Linked DNA regions of Oryctolagus cuniculus. The protein of the gene in region 2 interacts with the protein of the main gene of each other region in a biochemical or structural test. Links are inferred from orthologs where the notes say so. Each region holds a gene or a part of one and is shown on either strand. Other genes may lie near its edges.

Region 1 (6,766 bases), on a different chromosome or scaffold from region 2:
GGAACAGTAAGGGAGCATCAGCTCTGCCTTCTTGTTGCTTAGCAACCAGCACTTTCCCATTCCCAGCAGGTGCAAAGGGGTCCAGGTTTGAAGTTAGGGGGTCCAAGGGTAGAGAACCAATTAGTCTGCATAATAATGAGACTTTCTGGCTCCACTCTGCAAGGAATGAAGCAGTGAAGACAACATTTATCTCCCTCGTTGGGGGTATATTCTGTCCTGTCTCTGAGAATTTGTGCTCACATGGAGAGGTGTGTGTTTTATATGTATGCTTGTGTTCCCATGGTCACCTGCTGGATAATGGAATGAAAAGGCATCCCCAGGGCTCACACTGCTGGGGACACTCAGAACACCTGCATCCTGGTGTTTCTCTGCTCTGGACATTGGATCACAAAGCTTGTTCCCGAGCTGATCTTCAGAATGCCGGTGTCTCCACTGTTCCGCTCTCAGACCGTTCCTGTCTTGTTTGAACAACTCAGTATACCCATCCAGGTTTTCCAAGCAGTGGACTCCACAATGGGATTTAGAATGAAAGGATGGCCGGCTCTGTGGCTCACTAGGCTAATCCTCCACCTGTGGCACTGGCATCCCGGGTTCTAGTCCCGGTTGGGGCACCAGATTCTGTCCCGGTTGCTCCTCTTCCAGTCCAGCTCCCTGCTGTGGCCCGGGAGTGCAGTGGAGGATGGCCCAAGTGCTTGGGCCCTGCACCCGCATGGGAGACCAGGGGGAAGCACCTGGCTCCTGGCTTCAGATCAGTACAGCGTGCCAGCGGTAGCAGCCATTTGGGGGGGGGGGGTGAACCAATGGAAAATGGAAGACCTTTCTCTCTGTCTCTCTCTCTAACTCTGCCTGTCAATAAATAAATAAATAAATAAATAAATAAAAAAAGAATGAAAAGACTATATTAGGGCAAATGCTCAGGTGAGCAAAATTGGGAGGGGGCAGCTGGGGGGGGGGTCTCTGGCATTCAGGAACAAAAGAGACAAGAAGCTGGGCATGGGGTTGGGAGACCCGCAAAGGTACATAGAAGACCACACAGGTCAGCAGAATGACTGTGAAAGAAGGAACTTTCGGAGACTGGGGTGAGCCCAGGGATGTGGAGCAACAGCGGGGCCTGGTTGGTGGTCCACGGGGGGACCCTGTGTGGAGGGAGAGGCCATGGCCAGCTCATGCTTTGAATCGCTCCTCCCACTGTTTCCGCTAAGGCTTTGCCACCTCTTTGCACAGGGCTCTTACCATCAGACTGCACTCCCTCAGTGGTTTCCCAGATGCCTATGCCTTAGTCTCTTTGTGTTACGATAACAAAATATATGAGACTGGGTAACTTAGAAGCAGCAGAATTTATTGCTTACACTTCTGGGAACCCTACGGATTCTCCATCCAAGACCGCAGCTTGAGTGCGTGGGTCTCACATGGTGGGAGACAGACTGGAGGAAAGAGGAAGGAGCCCAGGTCCCCCCTGCAGGGTACAGCGGTCCTCCCTTTCAAACCCTTCCAAGGGCCCTAATTCCATCCCCGCGGGCTCTGCTCTCATGACTTAATGACCTCGTAAAACCATCACACTGGAAATTAAATTTCAACGCATGAATTCTGGGGGACACTGTCAGACCATAGCAATCTACTATATTCCTTTCTTCTTCTCAATAACAACTGGCTATACTTCCAAGTGTCAGAAAATAAAATCGCCCTGTCCCATGCAGTGGTGCGTCAGTTTCTGCTTCACTCCCTTTGAGACCATGCGATATAGGCAAGTCCTGTGGGGTCAGAGCCTCTGACATCTGCCGTCCAAGCTGGATATGTGCTGCTTGGACTTTCCTCCTATTCTTCTCGTCACTTTGACTCCTGAATAAAGGCTGACATCTCATATCACCGTGTGCAGTGTGTTAAGCGAAGGGGACAGACAGTAAAGATGTGTGTAGCCTACCCATACTTACCACTGTCGCTCCATGCAAATGAGCAGCACCTTCTTAAAGAGACAGATACATGATGCTCCCAGTGGTGACCACAGCAACGAAGTGGGTTCATGGAGGACACCATGACCTGGATGAACGCCTGGAAGAGGCAAACCAAGGAGGGATGGGAGATGATTTTCTCTCTCCTAGTTAGAATCAGAGAGAGATGACCCTAGAAGGTTGGGAGGGGGTGATGGAAGGAGAGAATGTTGACACTTGGAGCAAGTTGACCTTTGTGCTTACTCAATGGCAAGTGCATTCCTTGCATTCTCTTACCACCCTCCATCCCACCTCTGGGTGGGTGGAAAGTTAGGACCCTTGCCCCAGGTTTCATTGTTGGTGAAGTCAGGTCTTCACTGCCCTACCCACAAAGCCTATTATAAAGCTCTATGTTGTCCTGGGACCAGAGTGACAGTTGAAGGGCTGAGGGAAGGTGAGTCTGACCATCGAGGGCCACAGAGTGAGTCCCTGAGCAGGAGAGACTTCAGAGGGGCTCCTGAGGGCCCCTCTCCATCTTGGCTCATCTAACCCTGTGTTCACACGCGCTCAGTCTCACGCACCTGACTCTGACACTACCAGCCTAAGCACATCGGCCTTCTGGTTCCAAGCCACAGCTCCATAAACAAATTCTTCTTAATTAGCCTTGGCAGCTCAACACCTTTGGTGTACCTAGCCCATTTACCTGGCACGCCTACTCTTGTTGGATCCGGTTATAAAGTAAACCATGTTCTTTGAGTGCAGTTGCATACAGATGAGTCGGCAGCCAGTCTGAGCCGACCCACAGACCCATAAAAACCAACAGGGCCTCCGGTACCCTCATCCGGGACAGCTAAACTCTTCGACCAAAGGGGCAAGGACTCGCTCACCTCAACAATCAGCTGCCTTCTTGGGGACCAAGAAAATGAGTTTTCGTCTCCACATACACTCTGGCAATCCATGAGGTAAGGGGAGAAACCCCCCATTGTCTCTTTGTAGACAAAAGGAGTGAATTCTTGTGGAAATTGAGCCCTTTCTCCATCCAGACAGACCTGTCCCTCCACTCCCAGGGGATAAAAGTGTGGTTTTCGTTCTCTTCTTTGATGCTCTTGACCCGTGGGTCTCACGTGGGAGCTGCATCCTCCTCGCCCTGGCCGTCTCCCAGTGCCACAGCCAGAGGCAGCGGAAGCCTCCGTTCGCTTGCGCTACACTTGGTGCAGCCTTTTCCTGCTGGGGACAGACAGGGGCGCAGGGTGTCTGTCTCGGGGCGTCGGGGCATCTTCCTGTTGCTGCAAGAGCTTGCTTAGTGGTGGGGCCCCTCTCAGGCCTTTCTCATCTGCAAGACAGAGTATAAAGCTGGTGTCTGGGGCCGGTGCTGCGGCTCACTAAGCTAATCCTCCGCCTTGCGGCGCCGGCACACCGGGTTCTAGTCCCGGTCGGGGCGCCGGATTCTGTCCCAGTTGCCCCTCTTCCAGGCCAGCTCTCTGCTGTGGCCAGGGAGTGCAGTGGAGGATGGCCCAAGTGCTTGGGCCCTGCACCCCATGGGAGACCAGGAGAAGTACCTGGCTCCTGCCACCATCGGATCAGCGCGGTGTGCCGGCCGCAGCACGCCAGCCGCGGCGGCCATTGGAGGGTGAACCAACGGCAAAGGAAGACCTTTCTCTCTGTCTCTCACTGTCCACTCTGCCTGTCCAAAAAAAAAAAAAAAAAAAAAAAAGCTGGTGTCTGCTTGGGAAAGGCATCCACATTGCAGAATCTTGCCCCATTCAGAGTGAAGGTGATCGATTTCTCAACACTTGTTCGGCTCTCCTAGGACAAATGCTCTGTGACATCTGTGTCTCACAGATTCTAGGCATTAGTGGCCCAAAACAAGCTGGGCTTTTGGAATTTGCAAACTTTAGGTAAAACATTTGTCTTTAATCCTGTTAATCAGACATAGAGAACAAAGCAAAACTTAGTGATTGTAGTTAGGAGGCTGTGATGCGTGTGGATTACCTGACTCCCCAGTCCCTACACATTTCCTTCAGTCCTGGGCTGCGCCTGCAGGGTCTCATTCTATGCTGTTTGGGATCAATGCATTCTCACCAAGCCAGCTTCAGTTTGGGAAAGTACAATGAGGTAGAGGTATCTGGGAAGGTATAAGCCATCAGAAATCTGGCTGTTTTCCATGCTGCAGCCAGCATGTCTTCTGTGTAAGGAAGGAAGCGCACCAAGTCAGTGTAGGTGCAAGATGGAACTGGGGGCCGGCGCCGTGGCTCACTTGGTTAATCCTCCGCCTGCAGCACCAGCATCCCTTATGGGCACCGGGTTCTAGTTCCGGTTGCTCCTCTTCCAGTGCAGCTCTCTGCTGTGGCCCGGGAGGGCAGTGGAGGATGGCCCAGGTCCTTGGGCACCTGTACCCGCGTGGGAGACCAGGAGGAAGCACCTGGCTCCTGGCTTCGGATCAGCGCAGCACCGGCCGTGCGACCATTTTGGGGGTGAACCAACGGAAGGAAGACTTTTCTCTCTGTCTCTCTCTCTCTCACTGGCTAATTCTACCTGTCAAATAAGTAAAAAAAAAAAAAAAAAGATGGAGCTGGCAAAGCAGCAAAGATTACTTGTGAACAGTTCTTGGCGCTTTGACGTTGTTGGTGGCTTCTGCTTGGTGCTCTCTTATTTTCTTTACATAAGATACTTGTAATGGCCAAGCGTGCTCTGCTGCAGAGAGATCTGAGACTCGGAACTCCCATGCATGTCCCTTTCCTTTTCCCAGCAACCTCTCATTCCACACTAGGCTGCAGATGGCCCTGGACCTGCTCACAGCTCAGTCATTTTCCAAAGGATGCAGCTCTGACTCACATGCCCTGCCTCCTGCTTGTCCCAGGGCTCGCGGGGCCTGAAGACTTCCTATTTCCTTCTCGCGGAGCTCTTGCCGGAATAGCTTACGCTTCTCCGCAGTCTGACCCTGAGTTTGACCCAAATTTCCTGCCCTTGGCTATCCAAGGGTGCAGTGGTACTACTGGTCTCTTCTTCACATTTCTCCTTCTCCTTGTATATGTGTGGTGGTATCCTGGGTACAGGCCTTCCCCTCATTTGCCTTCCAGTACATGTATAGTAAGCGTGCACCATGTTCTGGAATCTGTATGGTCCTGGGAGATGACAGGATGCTTGCAGTGGCCAACGATGCAGCACTCTGGATGCGTATAGCACCACGCAGGGCTGTGACAAGGAAACAGGCTGCTTGCCCTCTGCTGGGGGACACACCGCTGTGTAAGGACTTCTGCACAGTTCCACCCATGGTGCACTGGCTGTGTGGGCAGGAAGTACAGCATACCAAAGAAGAACAGTCCTCGACACCCTCGGCAGGCAAGATCGGGCCTGGTGGGGGCAAGAGGAAGAACATTCTAGAACAATGGCATGTACAAAACTACACAAGCCTGAGAAAGAGCCCAGCATATCCAGGGATATACCAAGCTTGTGTGGCTGAGGCGGGTGGTGAGTGAAGGTACAAATAAACAGAGGAGAGAAGTCACATTTGGGGAAGGGTCTCCTGGTGGGCCATGCTCAGGACACACTTGGGAACCTTGCTCAGATCAATGCCCATGTAGGGAAGGCTATCTGGTCTGCAAAATGCGGGATGGACAGGAATCGGGTGAGACCATGGCCAAGGAAACCAGTAGGAGGGTCCTAAGGAGACACAGGCACAAAGTCTGGTGGCCAAAAAGCTATGGAGAGTGAGAGGGGGCAGAGGAGGATGACACGGGGCTGGGAAGAGGGAGCCTGGGACCCAGAAACGTCCCCAGAGTCCACACGTCTTATTTTTTATTCCAGCCTCTTCGCAGCAAGGCTAATGTCACTGGTCAAAGGTAAGAGCAGGCACGCGGCCACACGATGGCACACTGTGGATGGCAGGGGTGGTTTTCTTCATGCTTATGCTCACGTCCACCTGTGCTTTTGTGTGATGGGTTCACGGCGCCCAGCCGTGATGGGCAGCAGGACCCGCGTTGGCCAGAGAACCAGCTTTTCAGATGCCTCCCGGGACCGTGGCACTGCATGCACGTGTGGGAGCAAGGAGAGAGACCTCAGTATCCTGGGTGCTCAGGTCCCCAGGGAGGCACTGCCCTGGCTGTGTGGTCAGCCTTGGCTCCAGTCTCTGCTGAGCCCCACTGCAGCCTTGTCAAAGGCAGGGCAGAAAAGCACGTGGCCCCTCAGCGTGTGGAAGCCTGAGGTTGAGACCACGTCAGGAACGATAAAAGGACGGCTGGGAGCCCTCTAACTGCTGCTGTGCCTGCCGTTTGCTGCCTGCAAACAGCGTGCTGTCAGGCGTGCTGGGGTGACGGGGAAGGCTGTTGTCTCGGGCCCCCGCGCGAGCCCCGCAGATGCAGGGAGCAGCGTATGGGGACACATGGCCCATGCGGCACACTCTGCTTGGGAAGCCCTGGGCCGAGTCACACAGGTGGTAGGAGGCAGAGCCGGGACTTAGGATTTTTCTCTTCACTCCGAGGGCTGCCCGAGTCCCCCTCGAGGAGGGCAGTGGCTTCCCAAAGGCCCCAGGGCAGCGTTCCATCTGAATTCCCCTGGTGATGCTGAGGGTCAATAACTTCCTCCCTGAAGCGAACCTGCTGCTATCTTCCTCCATCAGTTCCCAGTGGGCAGCCGAGTCTGGCCCACGCTCTGCTCTGCAGAGACACACGTGCTAAGGAGACACACGTGACCTGCTTTCTGCTGCTAAGAGGCTGGTTGCAAATACTCTGAAATACAAGGCAGAATTTTCCATTTCTTTAGAATTTCCCAACGTCCCTGCCCCTCCCTCTCCTCCAGTTGCACAATCCCCCATGTGTCTTGGCTGCATTTCAGGAATC
Region 2 (6,795 bases):
CTGTGGGGCTAAGCCAGGCCCGGGGGGCCCCCGCCGTCCTGCCATCCCCAGCCCCACCTGACCTGCACAAGCCCCCGACAGGGGCTCCGTGGAGGGGCTCCCGGGACAGGGGCGGGCGGTGTGGCACTGCCGGAGCGGGCCATGAGAGGCGGGACGGAGGTGGCAGGCAGCGGGTGTCCAGCTGGAGTGACCGAAGCTCTGGGGACAGCCGGCTGCCACCCCACTTATCTCCCTCCCACTGTGACCCAGGCTCCCGGGGGGATGGGTGGGGACCTGGGGGCTGAGTCACTTTGGGGAGCAGGGTGGTGCCCGAGCCCCCTCTCCTGCTGAGTGAGGCTCCAGCCGGGCGCCCCCCACCCAGCTCAGTTTCCGTCCCGGGAAAGGAAGGAAGGAAGCGGCTGGGAGGCCCCGCCCTGCTCCGAGACCCAAGGCTGGGAAGACGGGGGCCAGGGAGAGGACCCGGCCCCAGAGCCCAGGGCAGCCCCGCCATGCCTCGGGGGGGGGGGGCAGGGGCCCAGGTGCAGACGCCGCACCCTCCTCAGAAGCACCAGCCCCTTGCCCTTTTCCCCCCAAGGCCCTCCCGGTGCGGGGTGGCTGGGGGCACAGGCTGGGGCTGGCACAGCTGGCTGCCCTGTCGTGGTGTGGGGGCTGTCCCTGTCGTCATGGCTGGGATCAGCTGCACTGCAGCTGCAGCCACCCCAGCCCGGTGTGGCCCAGGGCTGAGTCACCACTGACGAGGCCCTCACAGCCCCCAGGGGGAGGGGCTGCCGCAGCCGTCATCCCCCTGCCCACCTCCCGTCGTCCCGACGCTGAAGGGCAGAGAGGGCGAGAGCGGCCCTCCCCGGACACGGGGCACCGGCCGTGGGCCCCTTGCTGCAGCAGAGCGGGCACTCTCCAGTCCCTGTCCCTGCGGGTGGGCACTGGCCGGCCAGCTGCCCTCAGGCCAGGACCCCCCACACCCAGCCCTGGGAGGCCTGAGCCTTGCTCCTGGAGGTCACAGTGAGCCCAGCACCTCCTGCTGGGGGGGACCCTGCCCCCGGCCTCCTGGCCCTGTCCCCGAGGCCAGCCCGGTTGGCACAGAAGGACCTGCCAGCCGGGGCCCGCCTCGTTCCTCCAAGAATCGCCAGAGGAAGCCGCTCCTAGGGCTTCCTGCAGCCCCCAGAGCTCCAAGGAGCGGAGGGGAAGGCGCGACCCGGGGCACCAGGGCCACCCCACCCTGGGCGGATTTTTCCACAGGAAGGTGAACCGGGCCGTTTGTGTCTAAATCAATGGACAAATGCAGCGGGGTGGGGGGGCTTCCTCCTGGGACAGGGAGGGGTGCCTGAGAAAGACTGCGGCTCCAGGCCTCAGCCCGGGGGCCCTCCCGCAAGGCAGCCGGGCCAGGGCTCCCTGCAGAGACTCTGGCCCTCGTGGCCCTGGGGCAAAAGTCCAGGCTCCAGGGCTCAGCACCTGCGGCCCTGACCTCTCGGAAGGCCAAGAGTGTCCCGTGGGCTCCCAGGCCAGGCCTTGCCCAGGACAAGGAGTCCCACCGGGAGCGCCAGCCCGCCCAGGACGGGCCCCCCGGGGCCCAGCTCACAGCGCAGCCAGCTGTGGTGGGAGAGGGTGGGAAAGGAAAAAGGTCCACGTGAAGGCCCCCGCCCACCCCACACGTTAGGCCCAATACCTCCACTGCCCCCAGGCCGGGGGTTCTCAAAGCGGAATCTGGGGAACCCCTAGGCGGAACCCCCCAAGGGATGTGGTCAACCAAAGAGGTAGGAGACGGCTCTTCCCCAGGGCTCACATGCTTGCCCCGCAGGGTTACTTCCAGGTCCCCACCCCTCCTGCGGCTGGGGGGTCTTTGCTGAAGACTGGGGGAAGGGTGGGCTCGCCCTAGAAGCTTCCTGAACCAGGCTGCGCACAGCAGCTTCTGGGGCCAGCTCTCTCCGAGGGCTTCACCCTACACTCAGACCAGACAGACAGACAGAGACGCAGACGCTGCTGAGGGGCCAGGCTCGCTCCTTCCCAGGGTCCGGTGACTCCGCCCACCGGGCAGGAAGGGCCTCGTCGCCCTGGGCCAGGCTAAGGGCAGGGACAGAGAGCGAGCCGGGAAGGGGGCCGAGCTGTCCTGTCTACCCCCAGTTAGGAACTCGGACTGAGAGAAGAGGGACCCAGAAGGCAGCCGGGGCGGGGTGAAGACTTGTCAAGAGGCCAGGGTGGCCGCACGGGCAGAGGCTGCCGTACCTTCTGGCCAGCGTCAGAGCTCAGGCTGCCTGCACGTGCCCAGTCCGGCTTTGGCTCCCAGGGGTCGTGGGCGGGCGGGAGCCCTCGCTGGGCCATGTCCTCGGTGCAGGTGAGCTGCCGCCGGCGCAGCTCCTCGTCCGTCTCCTTGTCCACTACCAGCAGCCGGGTCTCCCCTTCGACAGCCTTGATCCTCTGCACCACCTGGGGCAGGCAGGGACGGGGGCAGGTCAGCGGCCGGCAGCCCGGGCAGCACGTGGACGGTGGCACCACTCCGGGATGGCCTGGGCTGGCAGGCAGACAGGCAGCCAGGCTGCCAGGGGTGGGCGGCTGGCCCCGCCGGCTCCGCCCCCCGCCCCCGGCTCCCTGACACAGCCAGCCCTGAGCTGCTCTCAGCCCAGGGTGGAGGTGACCAAGACGGCACTGAATGAGCTTCAGGGGCTCGGTCTGCCCGTGCGTGTGCACACGCTCGTGTGTGCGCACCATCTGTTTCCAAGTCTGCCTTCCAGCCCAGGTTGGAGGCGGGAGGTGCTGTCGGGTGTTAGTTTGGCTGTGCATGTTCGCTTGCTTTCAACTTTCTCACGGGAATCTCAACCTGCCCTAGACACAGACCGTCTGCCTGCAGACCACAGACCCACTCCTGCTGGGCCTGCGGACAGCTGAGAGCTGGGTTCCCGCTCAGGCCCCCGCACACGGTCGGGTAAGGAGGACAGCGGGGAGAGGGGCAGGTCTGCCCGTGGCACAGGTGCGGCGTTCCAGGCGCTGTGTGTCTGGGAGCACACAGGGTGCCAGCGTGTGCCAGCAGGGAGAGGGCAGTGCCCACTATGGCCCTCGGCCTGTGGAAGAGCGGAGCAGAAGGCTCCCACCTGCTGCCCAGCTCCCCAGATGCTGTCAAGCAACAGGGGGAGCGAGCCAGGCCCGTCCTCGCCCGGCCCTGCTCCCCGACTTGTGACCCAAACTGAAGCTCCAAGCCTCAGTTTCCATATTTGTAAAGCAGAGTCCCGGCCGCACCTCCTGGGGCTGGGGCTGGGTGTGAAGTTCTCAGACAAGTGCCCAGGGGCCCGGAACAGCAGGTGCAGCTGGAGCGAGGATGGCCATGGCTGTCACACAGAGGCGGGGTGCCAGCTCTGCCAGCCCTGCCTCCCCCACCTGTGGCCCTGACCCCCACTGCACTTCAGCACACAGCACCGCTCTACCCAGCTTCCAGTCTCGCTGGAAGACAGAGGCTAGGGGACCCCGGGAAGCCCGGCCAGTGGCTCAGCTGTCTGCTAACCCCTAGGCCCAGTACTGGCCACGTAGACAGGCCACAGGCTCAGCGGTGCTGTGAGGGACACGGAGCAGCCGGAGCAGCCGGTCCGGAGGGAGGCTGGACTCTGGCCAGGATCTGAGGTGAGTCCCTGGCCAGCGGGAGACGGACATCCCAGGGGTTACAGCCTGCAAGGGAAGAGGCCCTACCCTCTCCAGCTGCAGGAGCAGGGGGCAGTGGCCACAGCGCCCCGAGGAGGGTGAGGGTCGCAGCAGCTATGGAATGTGCCACCAGGGACTGCCAACTCGCACCGGATCCAGGCACCCCGGCTGCAGACACACTGGCCGGTCTACACCGCCCAGACGCGCAGGGGCCTGGCTGCTGGCACCCACACGGGCAGGACCCCGGAGGCCTTGCGCGGTCACACAGTCCCACAGGCTCAGGAAGCACCCGGGTTCACCGACACACAGGCTGGAGCCAGGCGGGGGGAGGGGGCCGAGGGCCGGCTTGGAGCCGCAGTGCGGCCCCTCCCTGCCAGAACGCCTTCCCCCGCGCTGCGGTGCGGGGCTGAGCGTCGCGGGGGAGGTGCGGGGCCCGCCACCCGCAGGCAGCGCCCAGCCGGCCGGGGCGCAGCGCGGCACCCACCTGGTGGTGCGTCTCGCCTTCCACGTTGACGCCGTTCACCTCGACCAGGCGGTCCCCCGCGCGCAGCGCGGCCGCCTCGGCGGGGGAGCCGGGCTCCACGCGCCGGATGAACTGCCCACGGCGGCCCTTCTCGCCATGCAGGTGGAAGCCGTAGCCCTGCTCGCCACGCACCAGGCGGCACAGGCGCGGCCGCAACGGCTCCGGCGCGGCCATGGCGCCCGCTGACCACCGGCCGGCCGCGGGCTGGCCACGGCGCTACGGGGCCCGCAGGCCGGGGCGCGGGGGCGGCGCGGGGGACGGGCGGCCGCCTCGGCGTTGCGCTCGCTCGGCTCCAGTCGCCTCGGGCTCGGGCTCGGGCTCCGGCTCGGGCTCCGGCTCGGGCTGGGGCACCGCCCCCGCGCCCGCCCCTTCCCCGCCCCCGCCGCCCGGCCGCCCCCGCCCCGGGTCCACGACGCGCTGGCCTGGCCCTGCCTCCCGGCCCCAGCTGCCCGAGGGGCTCTGGAGGGGAGGCTTCAGGGCCGGGGAACCCCTGTGTCTGGCAGCACGTTGGTGCCAGCGCTTCTGGCTTCCTGTGCAGGGCCTAGAGCCGGCTCCTGAGCTGGGGGCCAGGTGGGAGACAGTGGCCCCAGGCAGAACCCCCAGGGAGGCCCCGGAGTGAGGCCCTGCCTGCCCTCCCTGGGCGGTCCTTTGCCCACCCGCACGGTTCACCTGCTCCCCAGCCACTGCCCTCACCCCCGGGACCCTCCCGCAGCCAGGGCTGCCCTGCACAGAGCCCCACGACCTGCCTGGAGGCCCCTGGAGGCCGTAGTGACAGGGTGGGCTTTGTGTGCCCGTGGGCTCCCTAGAGGTCGGCCCTCCATTCTCGCACTTGGCTGAGGCCTACCCCAGGCCCCGGCAGACCCTGGAGTCCCAGGCTGCAGGGTCGGTCGGGGGCTGGCCTCCTGCCCCGAGACTTTGGCCTCTGTACTCTGTGGTCAGCACCGGCACACCTGAGCCGAGGTCTCTGGCACCTGCCCCCTGCCTCTGCCACGCCTCCCCTGCCCTGCGGCTGACAACCGCCAGCAGCACTTTGCCTGGCCAGGCCTCTCCAGGTGCAGTTTTACTGGCACAGAGGGAAGCACCCCTCCCCCAGGCCCAGGGCTGTGCGGCCCAAGCCTGCAGCCTTCACGGCTGAGGCCTGAGGCGGCCTGGCCTGCCCCGCCCCAGCCCAGCAGGGACCCCTGCCCATGCCTGCCCCAGGGGTGGGGCGCAGCAGTCCAGACAGTTCCCAGGTGGGCCCCAGTCCTCACCCCTTGCTCTCCCGTCTCCAGTTCTCTTGGCCTGGGCTCTCCAGCCCCCACCCACACCGTGGCCCCCTGGGTGCCCACCTCCAGGAGCTCGTGGCATCGTGGGTGCCCCCACCCTCACCTCTGCAGGTCTTGAGGGTCGGTGCCTTGGGCTGACCACCCGCCTGTCCAGCTGCAGCTGGCACCCTGGACCCTGCGCCCACTGTGTGCCCCCACCCCGCAGCGCCCAGTACCTGCCAGGCTGTAGCTTTGTGGCCACATTGTTTGAGGGGTGAGGAAGTGTTAGGTGGGAAGTTAGAAATGAGCCTGGGTGTGTGTTAGAGCCCTGCCCCAGGGGACGCTCCCCGGGCAATCCGCCCGCCGCCCAGCAGTAACCCTCAGGCCTTCCTCCAAGGCAGGCGCCCTAGGGGAACCTCCCGAGGGCTCCCCAAACCTGGAGAGAAGGGGGAGGGGGTAGAGAGAGAGGCGGGGGCGAGGGAAAACTGGACCCGTCCGTGGGAACCAAGGTCCTGCACTCGGCTGTCTCCTCTGAGCCGCCCGCCAGGCCTGCCAGGCTCCCCGTTCCCCCAGCAGCCTTGCTGCCCCCAGTGTGAGTGACCAGGCATGCGCCCGCTCTCTCCCTGCCGTGGGGACGGACGCCCTGTCCCCAGCAAACCTTGCTACTTAGCGCTGTTGCACGCCTGAACCCCTCAACTCCGCTCACAGAAGGCCCTGGTCCCTCCTCCCTAAGGCAGACCACCACCACCCACCGTGGCCCCAGACTCAGCTGTCTGTCGCCACCCGCCGTGCCCAGGACTGGGCTGCCTGTCACCGCCCCCCCAGGCCCAGGACTCGGTCACAGCCCCCCCCCCCATGCCCAGGACTGGGCTGCCTGTCACCGCCCCCCCCAGGCCCAGGACTGGGCTGCCTGTCACCGCCCCCCCAGGCGCAGGACTGGGCTGCCTGTCACCGCCCCCCCCCAGGCCCAGGACTCGGCTGCCTGTCACCGCCCCCCCCCATGCCCAGGACTGGGCTGCCTGTCACCGCCCCCCCAGGCGCAGGACTGGGCTGCCTGTCACCGCCCCCCCCCCAGGCCCAGGACTGGGCTGCCTGTCACCGCCCCCCCAGGCCCAGGACTGGGCTGCCTGTCACCGCCCCCCCCCACATGCCCAGGACTGGGCTGCCTGTCACCGCCCCCCCCCCAGGCCCAGGACTGGGCTGCCTGTCACCGCCCCCCCCCCAGGCCCAGGACTCGGCTGCCTGTCACCGCCCCCCCCCCAGGCCCAGGACTCGGCTGCCTGTCACAGCCCCCCCCCCCCATGCCCAGGACTGGGCTGCCTGTCACCGCCCCCCCCCCATGCCCAGGACTCGGCTGCCTGTCACCGCCCCCCCCCTCCATGCCCAGGACTGGGCTGCCTGTCA
Region 3 (6,795 bases), on a different chromosome or scaffold from region 2:
TCTATGAATAAAGTACTGGCAATTTCTTCCTTGAAGTCCCCTCCCCTCACCATCCAACAGTTCTTAGAAGAAAGGCCCTCTGGGCCTCAGACTAGTTAGGCGAGAGAGAGATACTCACAACATTTGGGTTAAAAGGAGGCGTAATCTTCTTATTAATGAGATCGTCCCAGTTAATTAGAGAGAAGAAGACGTGATTCCTAATCTCCATCTGTTGGGAAGAAGCCCATGATTAGTTCAAACGGGTGGAACTCAGGTGAAGGCAGGGAGGCCCCGCGTGCTTCCCGGAGGGCGGGGGGGGGGGGGGGGAGGGCAGTCACTGTCACTCACAAAGTCATCCTTGGCCCCGAGTCTCTTTGTCCTGTCCTTCTGCAGGAGGCCCTCCAGGAGGTGTCTTGCAGAATTGGTTATATTTGGTTTCAGCTGGAGAGGCTTGTTCAGAATGTTGTCGTACATCTCAGCTGTGTTTCGGCTATAAAACGGAGGCTGAAAGAGCGAGGGAGGGCACTCACTTAACTGGAAGTTCTGTGTCACAGCCTATCAGCGAAGAAAGACTGAAACTAAACTAGCAGCAGGCTGGATTGGAGAAAGGACGTTTTCTTTTGCCCTTGATTTTTTTTTTTTTTTTTTTTTTTTTTTTTTTACAGGCAGAGTGGACAGTGAGTTGCCCTTGATTTTTAAGTGTCTGTTTTGCAACCCTTATAGGGAAGGGGTGGGTGCGATAAGCCATGGTTTTCACCATCACCCAGCTTAAATGTTGTCCTGTGTAGTACAATGTGAAATGGACAAGAGAAAAGTCCAGTAGGTAGGAGATTACTCTCATAAAATAATCAACATGCTTCTCCTATTAGCTCTTGATAGCTAAACCTTATAGACAAGGGCAAGACCAATGCCAGGCCTGCATGTCCTCCCGTGTGTGGGTTAAGCGGGGGTGGCAGAATGTTCTAGGGCGTATCACTGAGGTAGAGGCAGTACCCGTGGTTCCCTGTGTGCGACTCACCAGGCCATACAGCATCTCATACAAGACGGCCCCCAGGCACCACCAGTCCACCGTCCTGTCATAAGGCTGCTTATGAAGCACCTCAGGTGCAAGATACTGAAAGACACAACAGGAAAACAGAGCTTAGAACCTGCAAGACCGGGCAATCCCAAGAGCAGACATGTACTCTGCAAGGACAGACCCAGAGGCAACTCAGGACGTATTCCTTCAGATTACTGCCCGACAAAACCGCTATCCTTTCTGAGGCTAACCGGCCACCTCTGGGTGCCTCTATTTAGGAAGCTACTGGGTAGCTAACAGTTATCATCCTTGGGGGTTTAGAAACCCTTTTATGATGTGGCTCCTACAGATAGGTCATTTCAATGACAGCAACAGGATGTCTTAGAATTTCTCACGCTGCATGCACCAAGCCATGAATGTAATTTGCTCTCACTGAGCTGTACTAAGCACATTTCTGAAGAGTTCAGGAAGTTAGAAGCACTGTGGCACTAGTCTCTCCTGGACGGACTGAGCAAGCGAGCGCCTACCTCGGGTGTGCCGCAGAAGGTGGACGTCGTGCCGTTGTGTTCAATGTTCTCCTTGCACAGCCCAAAGTCAGTCAGGACGATGTGTCCCTGTGAATCTAGTAGAATATTCTCCGGCTTCAAGTCTCTGTAAAAAATGAACAGAGGAGTAGTTGCTGATGTTAATTTCAGTTCATAACAAGTCCTCTGTGAAGCTAACTGCTAAGGGCATTAGGTATTTTAAATTCACTGCAGTTGTGCAGTGAATAAAAAAAGGGAGTCCTTGTTCTGCTGATCTAGTCTGGATTAGGGACAATCCCAGTTGGCCAGTTCCCTAGTGGCATGGAGTCAAGGCAGCTCACGTGCTGGGGGATCTGGTTTTAGGGGACCAGGTGCACGCACACACACTCTCTCACACAATCTTAAGGCTCCCTCAAGCAGGAGGGCTACCAGGGCTCTTTGGCTCACCTATAAACGATGTTCAGAGAGTGCAGGTAACCCAAGGCACTGGCTATCTCAGCAGCATAGAAACGAGCCCGTGGTTCCAGGAAGCAGCGCTCCCTCTGGAGATGGTAGAACAACTGCAGGAGACAGGACAAAGTTAGTCTGGGCTGCCAAAACACTTCACTAGTGACATATATAGCTAACGAAAACAATCGCAGGAAGTAGCCCTAGGTAATCTATTAACTATTTGAAGCCCGGCAACTTTTACCCCCTAAAGACCTTCGAAAACTTCCTTTTTAGACTAAAAAACCAAGCAGGCTGTGCAGAGACCGGCCCCTGCTCCCCACTCGCTCACCTCTCCACCGTTAATGTAGTCTAGGACAAAGTACAGCTTGTCGGCCGTCTGGAAGGAGAAGTGCAGGCCCACCAGGAAAGGGTGTTTCACGTTCTTCAGCAGCACGTTCCGCTCAGACATAATATGCTTCTCCTAGGAGGATGACAACCCAGACTGAGCGACAAACTTCAACTTGGCACCCACTCCCAAGGCAAAGCTGATTCAGTGAGCGTCCACTCACAGCTCCAACCCACCAGCCCCTTCTCCTACCTCCTTCTTTTTCAGGATTGCTTTTTTCTGCAACACCTTGACTGCATAGAAGGCTTCCTCTGCTTTGTGTCTCGCTAGTAGAACCTGAAATTGCAATAAGAAAAAAAAAAATCATCCTTTTTGGGTCCTCATCCAGGGAGAGTGTAAAATGAACACATACGAGAGTATATACAAAGGTCTCCGGATCTGAAATTACCTTTCCAAAACTGCCCTTTCCAATCACTTTTAGGAAGTGAAAGTCTGATGGTTTAGCATGAGGGTTTGATGATGGGCCAAGGTTGATTTGTTGAGATGGACTTGGCTGAAAAATAAAACATTCTCCTTTAGTGTCACCGCTTTCAAAGGCAGACGTCCACAATAAAGCATAAAAGCTGGATGCAAGTCCCATACGTCTATCAACGCACTCAAAACTATTTTTCAACCACACCATGTCATTATTTCAAGTGAGTATGGAGATTAAACGGATAAAACTTTTATGAAATATGCCTTCAGACAATACTCCACTGACTCAATACTTAACTAGTTATGTCACCTGTTATGTCCTTAACTAATGAGACATTCCTGCCTTCATACTAATTTCCAGAAATGCTATTTTAATCCATCAATGTAGGGATACTAGGTGACTCACTTAACAATTCTCCCCCATAGATGCTTCACAAACGGAACGATACTCACCGGAGGCGAAGGGTTGGCGTTCATAAGCTCGGGCTCCTGAGGTTGGGAGATTTTCAAAATGGACTGAACTTCAGTGCTGCAGAGGAAAAAAAAACACACACACGTTGGAGCCTCCTCGCGCCCCACTAGGGGGCACAGCAACACCACCAGTTGAGTTTCTGGCTCGAAGTTTCCCCGGAGAATCCAGGACTTCAACTGCAAACACCCAAAATCATCTACTGGGCCCTTTGAAGCCAACAGTGAGCCCAGCTGTGTACAGAAATTGAGGTGGTTTTTCACGCGGAGGGCGGGCGACAAGGAGGCAAGCCCGTCTCCGTGTTAAAAACGTCTCAAGTAAACCAGGATTTGAGGAGAAATGAGATCTCCACCCCGACGTAACCCAGCGAGGGGAGACGACTCTGCTACCCTGCCGGCGCTACTGACTTTAATTCCCGCAATCCCACCCGAACTTACTGCTTGCACGCATAGGAATTATTAGCGATCTTCTGAATAAAGTCGTTCAGGCCCATCCTCCTCTGCTTCATGAACGCTGTGAATGAAAGAGGAGAAATAAACGAATGCTCAGATGGCTTCGTAACGTCCGCCGCCACACACACTCCGTGATCCGCGACCTTCCGAAAACTCGCACCGCGCGGCGGCCTGACTCCTGCACTCACCGATGAGGATGGCCACCATGCCCCTCATCCTGGAGTAAGTGAGGGGGCCCCTAGCAGCCTCGGTTTTCACGGTCATCGCCACGGTGAGACCACAGCGAGTCGTTGGGAATGAGAGACCGGCTCAGCCAACTCTGCGCTCGGGCCGCGCGCCCGGCTTTATAAAGGCTGCGCCGGCAGGGGAGGGGCCCGACCGGCGACAAAGGAGCGGCGCGGCCCCGCCCCCCAGCGCAGGCCCCGCCCCCGGCCGCCGCGCCGCGTCCCGGCGGGACGGCAGCCCGCGGCGGGCGGTTCTGTCCCCAGCCTGAGGGCGAGCCGCGGGCGGAGGTGGGGGACTCGGGAGCCGCCCGGGGAGGGCAGTTTCGCCAGTGTTCGGCGCCCCGGGGCGCGGGCGGAGGTGGCGGGAAAGGATGCGGAGTAATTTTCCATTTTTCTCATTTATTCCGTTCGGCGAGGAAGTCAGGGTAGCAGCGCCGAGCTGCCTTCCGGACGCAGCCCGGCGGGCCGGCGGCCCTGCGCGAGCCCACACCCTCCCCCGCAGTTGCACTCTCTCGGCGATAGATAGCCCGGGACCCCCGCCCCGGCGCCCCCCGGTTTCCTCCCCGCCGAGGCCGGGCGGAGCGTGCGACCGCCCGGGAGTTCTCTCAGGCGCAGGCGTCTCAGCGCGCCCTCATCTGCAGGGTCAGCGCGGGGCCGGAGCTCCCGGGCCGGTCCTCCCCGCTCCCGCCGCCCGGTCACGCCGCTCTCCGTCCACCCCCCACCCCTTCTCCCGAGCCCGAGAACCGGGCCGGAGCCATGCGCCCGCGCGCACCGGAGGAGCCAAGTCCCCGCGGGGGCCGAGGCGCGCTTACCCAGTCCGCTCAGCAGGAAAGACTCGCTCCTTTTCTGCGCCTCGGCCCTCTTTTTGTGGCGGGGCCGGAGCAAGGACTCGAGCCGGGCCCTGGCGAGCGCTCCCTGCATCTCCCCCATGGGCAGCGGGCGGCGGGCGAGAGCGACCGGAGAGCACTGACGTTTCCTTGAAGGAGCCGCCGTGACTCAGGCCGGGCAAGATTTCCTGCCCGGGTCCCAAAACAAACAAATGGCCCTTGTGCACGGCCGAGCCGCTTCCGAAAACGCCTTTTTTGTGCTTTTGGCCAAAACCAAGCAAGGCTGGAAAAAAAAAAATCCCAGAACTTGGAAGAGGAGGAAGGAAGGAAAGAAGGAGGGAAAAGGGGGGGGAGGGGAGTCAGGAATGTGTAGGGGAGGGGGCGGAAGCAAAATTCGGCTCTGCATTGAAGACAAAGTGCAATCTGCAGCCCCCCCCCACCCCTTTTGTAATTTCTAGAGAACATTCTGTCCGTTTTGCGTGCACTTTTTTTCCCCCTTGCATTTTAATCCGCGCCACGCCGAGAACACGTGAGGAGGCCGGTGAGGGCGGCGGCGGCGGCGGCGCGGACCTGGCGTGACCCGGGCGGCAGAGGGCGGCGGCGGCGCCCGGCCCGCGCCCGCTGCTCTGCCGCCTCAGAACTCCGCAAGGTCAACGCTACCCTGTCTTAGAATCCCTTCGTTTGCCCTCCTCGTCCCTGCCGCCCGCAGAGTCGCCTGCGTTGGGCTGTTTCCCGCAAAGTGGCGTCTCCTGCACCCCCACAGGGACGAGCCGGTGACGGCGCTCCGGCGCGCGGACCGGGGCTGGAGGCTGCCCGCGGCGGCCGGGCTGTGCAGGCGGCGAGGCCGCTGCCTTCCAGTAACCCCGTCGCTGGGAGCCGCCGGGGCGCTGCAGCCCAACCGCGGGCGCGGGGACGCGCGCCAGCGCTGGCCGGGGGGTGTCTCTGGCTCAGACCTGGCCGGGAGCGGCAGAGACGGCTGCAAGTTCCCCCTCTTCGCTGGGCCGGGTACCTGGCGCTCGCCGCTGCCGTCTGCGGTGGCTGCCCTGCCCTGACCCCTTGCTGCCCTGCCATTTTAGAGTTTGCCTACTGGAGCCTCCACACTCCCAAACACCAGCTGTCGACCCAGGAATAGCCTGCGAGGCGCTTTTTCCCTTGGTCTTGGGCAAGGATTTGTTGTGCAGGCACAGCCACCTCGTTTGCCCTAAAATGATCTAGTCTGGTATCCTGCTTGGGTTTTTCGGTCGCAACAGCCCCAGCTCGGGAGAAGAGAGCATGCATCCTTCTCTCTCTTGGAGACTGGTTGATGAAGTTTGCTTAGTGCTGCTCTCTTAACACAGCACGGGCTCCAACTTAAAGCAAGGTTTGGGTAATTCCATATCATAGTAATTGGCCCGTGTCTGCTTCCTTGTGAACAGATTCTGCCCAGAATACCAGCTATTGCCATTGTACCCCTGGCCCATGTTCTGCCAGTCAACCAACCCAGCCCGGTCCTGTTCCCACCTGTTCCTCGCCAAGTCTTGCCTTGACAAGACAGCAAACATCACTCAGACTGCCTACAAACATCAATCTGCCCGAAGAGTCTTGCCTTTTGTTTTAAAACACTAAATTAAGAAATCAAAATCCCCGCCCTTCCCCCCCTCCCTGCTCCTCACAGGTGCCTGGCCCATGCCCAGTAATTTCAAAACCTCTGGGCATCCTTGTGTTACCGGCTCCATCCAAATCAGAGTTCGGAAAGCACTAACCTTTCAAAGGGGATTTGATAGCCTCCTCTTTCATTCTTCAAGCTGCCCAGGATATAAGGTGGAGGACTGATTTCTGGAGGCTGGAGGTAGTAAAGCTCACTTGTGATGGGACTTGCCTCCCTGCTTCTGTCTCTGAGATGATAAGGGAGGCTGAGCCAGAGGCCAGCTGTCCCGGTTCTGCTGCGAACCCCACTTTATATCTAGGGAATTTACATACAGGAAGGGAGCAAGCTGCAAAGTTCATCACTGGGCCATTTATTCCAACCCCCCCCCCCTTGCAACATCATCCAGCAAATTACAGTCATCAGCGT

The links.
Region 1: the proteins of NHERF2 (region 2) and KCNJ1 form a complex in vitro, tested with the Homo sapiens proteins (2 studies listed by BioGRID and IntAct, with this or other methods). The link is inferred for Oryctolagus cuniculus from reciprocal best matches to the Homo sapiens genes NHERF2 and KCNJ1.
Region 3: the proteins of NHERF2 (region 2) and SGK1 form a complex in vitro, tested with the Homo sapiens proteins (2 studies listed by BioGRID, with this or other methods). The link is inferred for Oryctolagus cuniculus from reciprocal best matches to the Homo sapiens genes NHERF2 and SGK1.

The regions. Positions count from the first base shown.
Region 1 is NC_091432.1:122,489,054-122,495,819, reverse strand, and holds the start of KCNJ1 (ATP-sensitive inward rectifier potassium channel 1), read left to right. Parts: upstream 1-2,686; 5' UTR 2,687-2,890; intron 2,891-6,766. UniProt on the Homo sapiens protein: Inward rectifier potassium channels are characterized by a greater tendency to allow potassium to flow into the cell rather than out of it.
Region 2 is NC_091450.1:33,195,133-33,201,927, forward strand, and holds the start of NHERF2 (Na(+)/H(+) exchange regulatory cofactor NHE-RF2), read right to left. Parts: upstream 4,372-6,795; 5' UTR 4,322-4,371; coding exon 4,109-4,321; intron 2,422-4,108; coding exon 2,221-2,421; intron 1-2,220.
Region 3 is NC_091436.1:34,690,884-34,697,678, reverse strand, and holds the start of SGK1 (serine/threonine-protein kinase Sgk1), read right to left. Parts: upstream 4,000-6,795; 5' UTR 3,956-3,999; coding exon 3,880-3,955; intron 3,753-3,879; coding exon 3,677-3,752; intron 3,300-3,676; coding exon 3,224-3,299; intron 2,850-3,223; coding exon 2,745-2,849; intron 2,633-2,744; coding exon 2,549-2,632; intron 2,432-2,548; coding exon 2,300-2,431; intron 2,082-2,299; coding exon 1,969-2,081; intron 1,649-1,968; coding exon 1,525-1,648; intron 1,094-1,524; coding exon 998-1,093; intron 484-997; coding exon 328-483; intron 209-327; coding exon 119-208; intron 1-118. UniProt on the Homo sapiens protein: Serine/threonine-protein kinase which is involved in the regulation of a wide variety of ion channels, membrane transporters, cellular enzymes, transcription factors, neuronal excitability, cell growth, proliferation, survival, migration and apoptosis.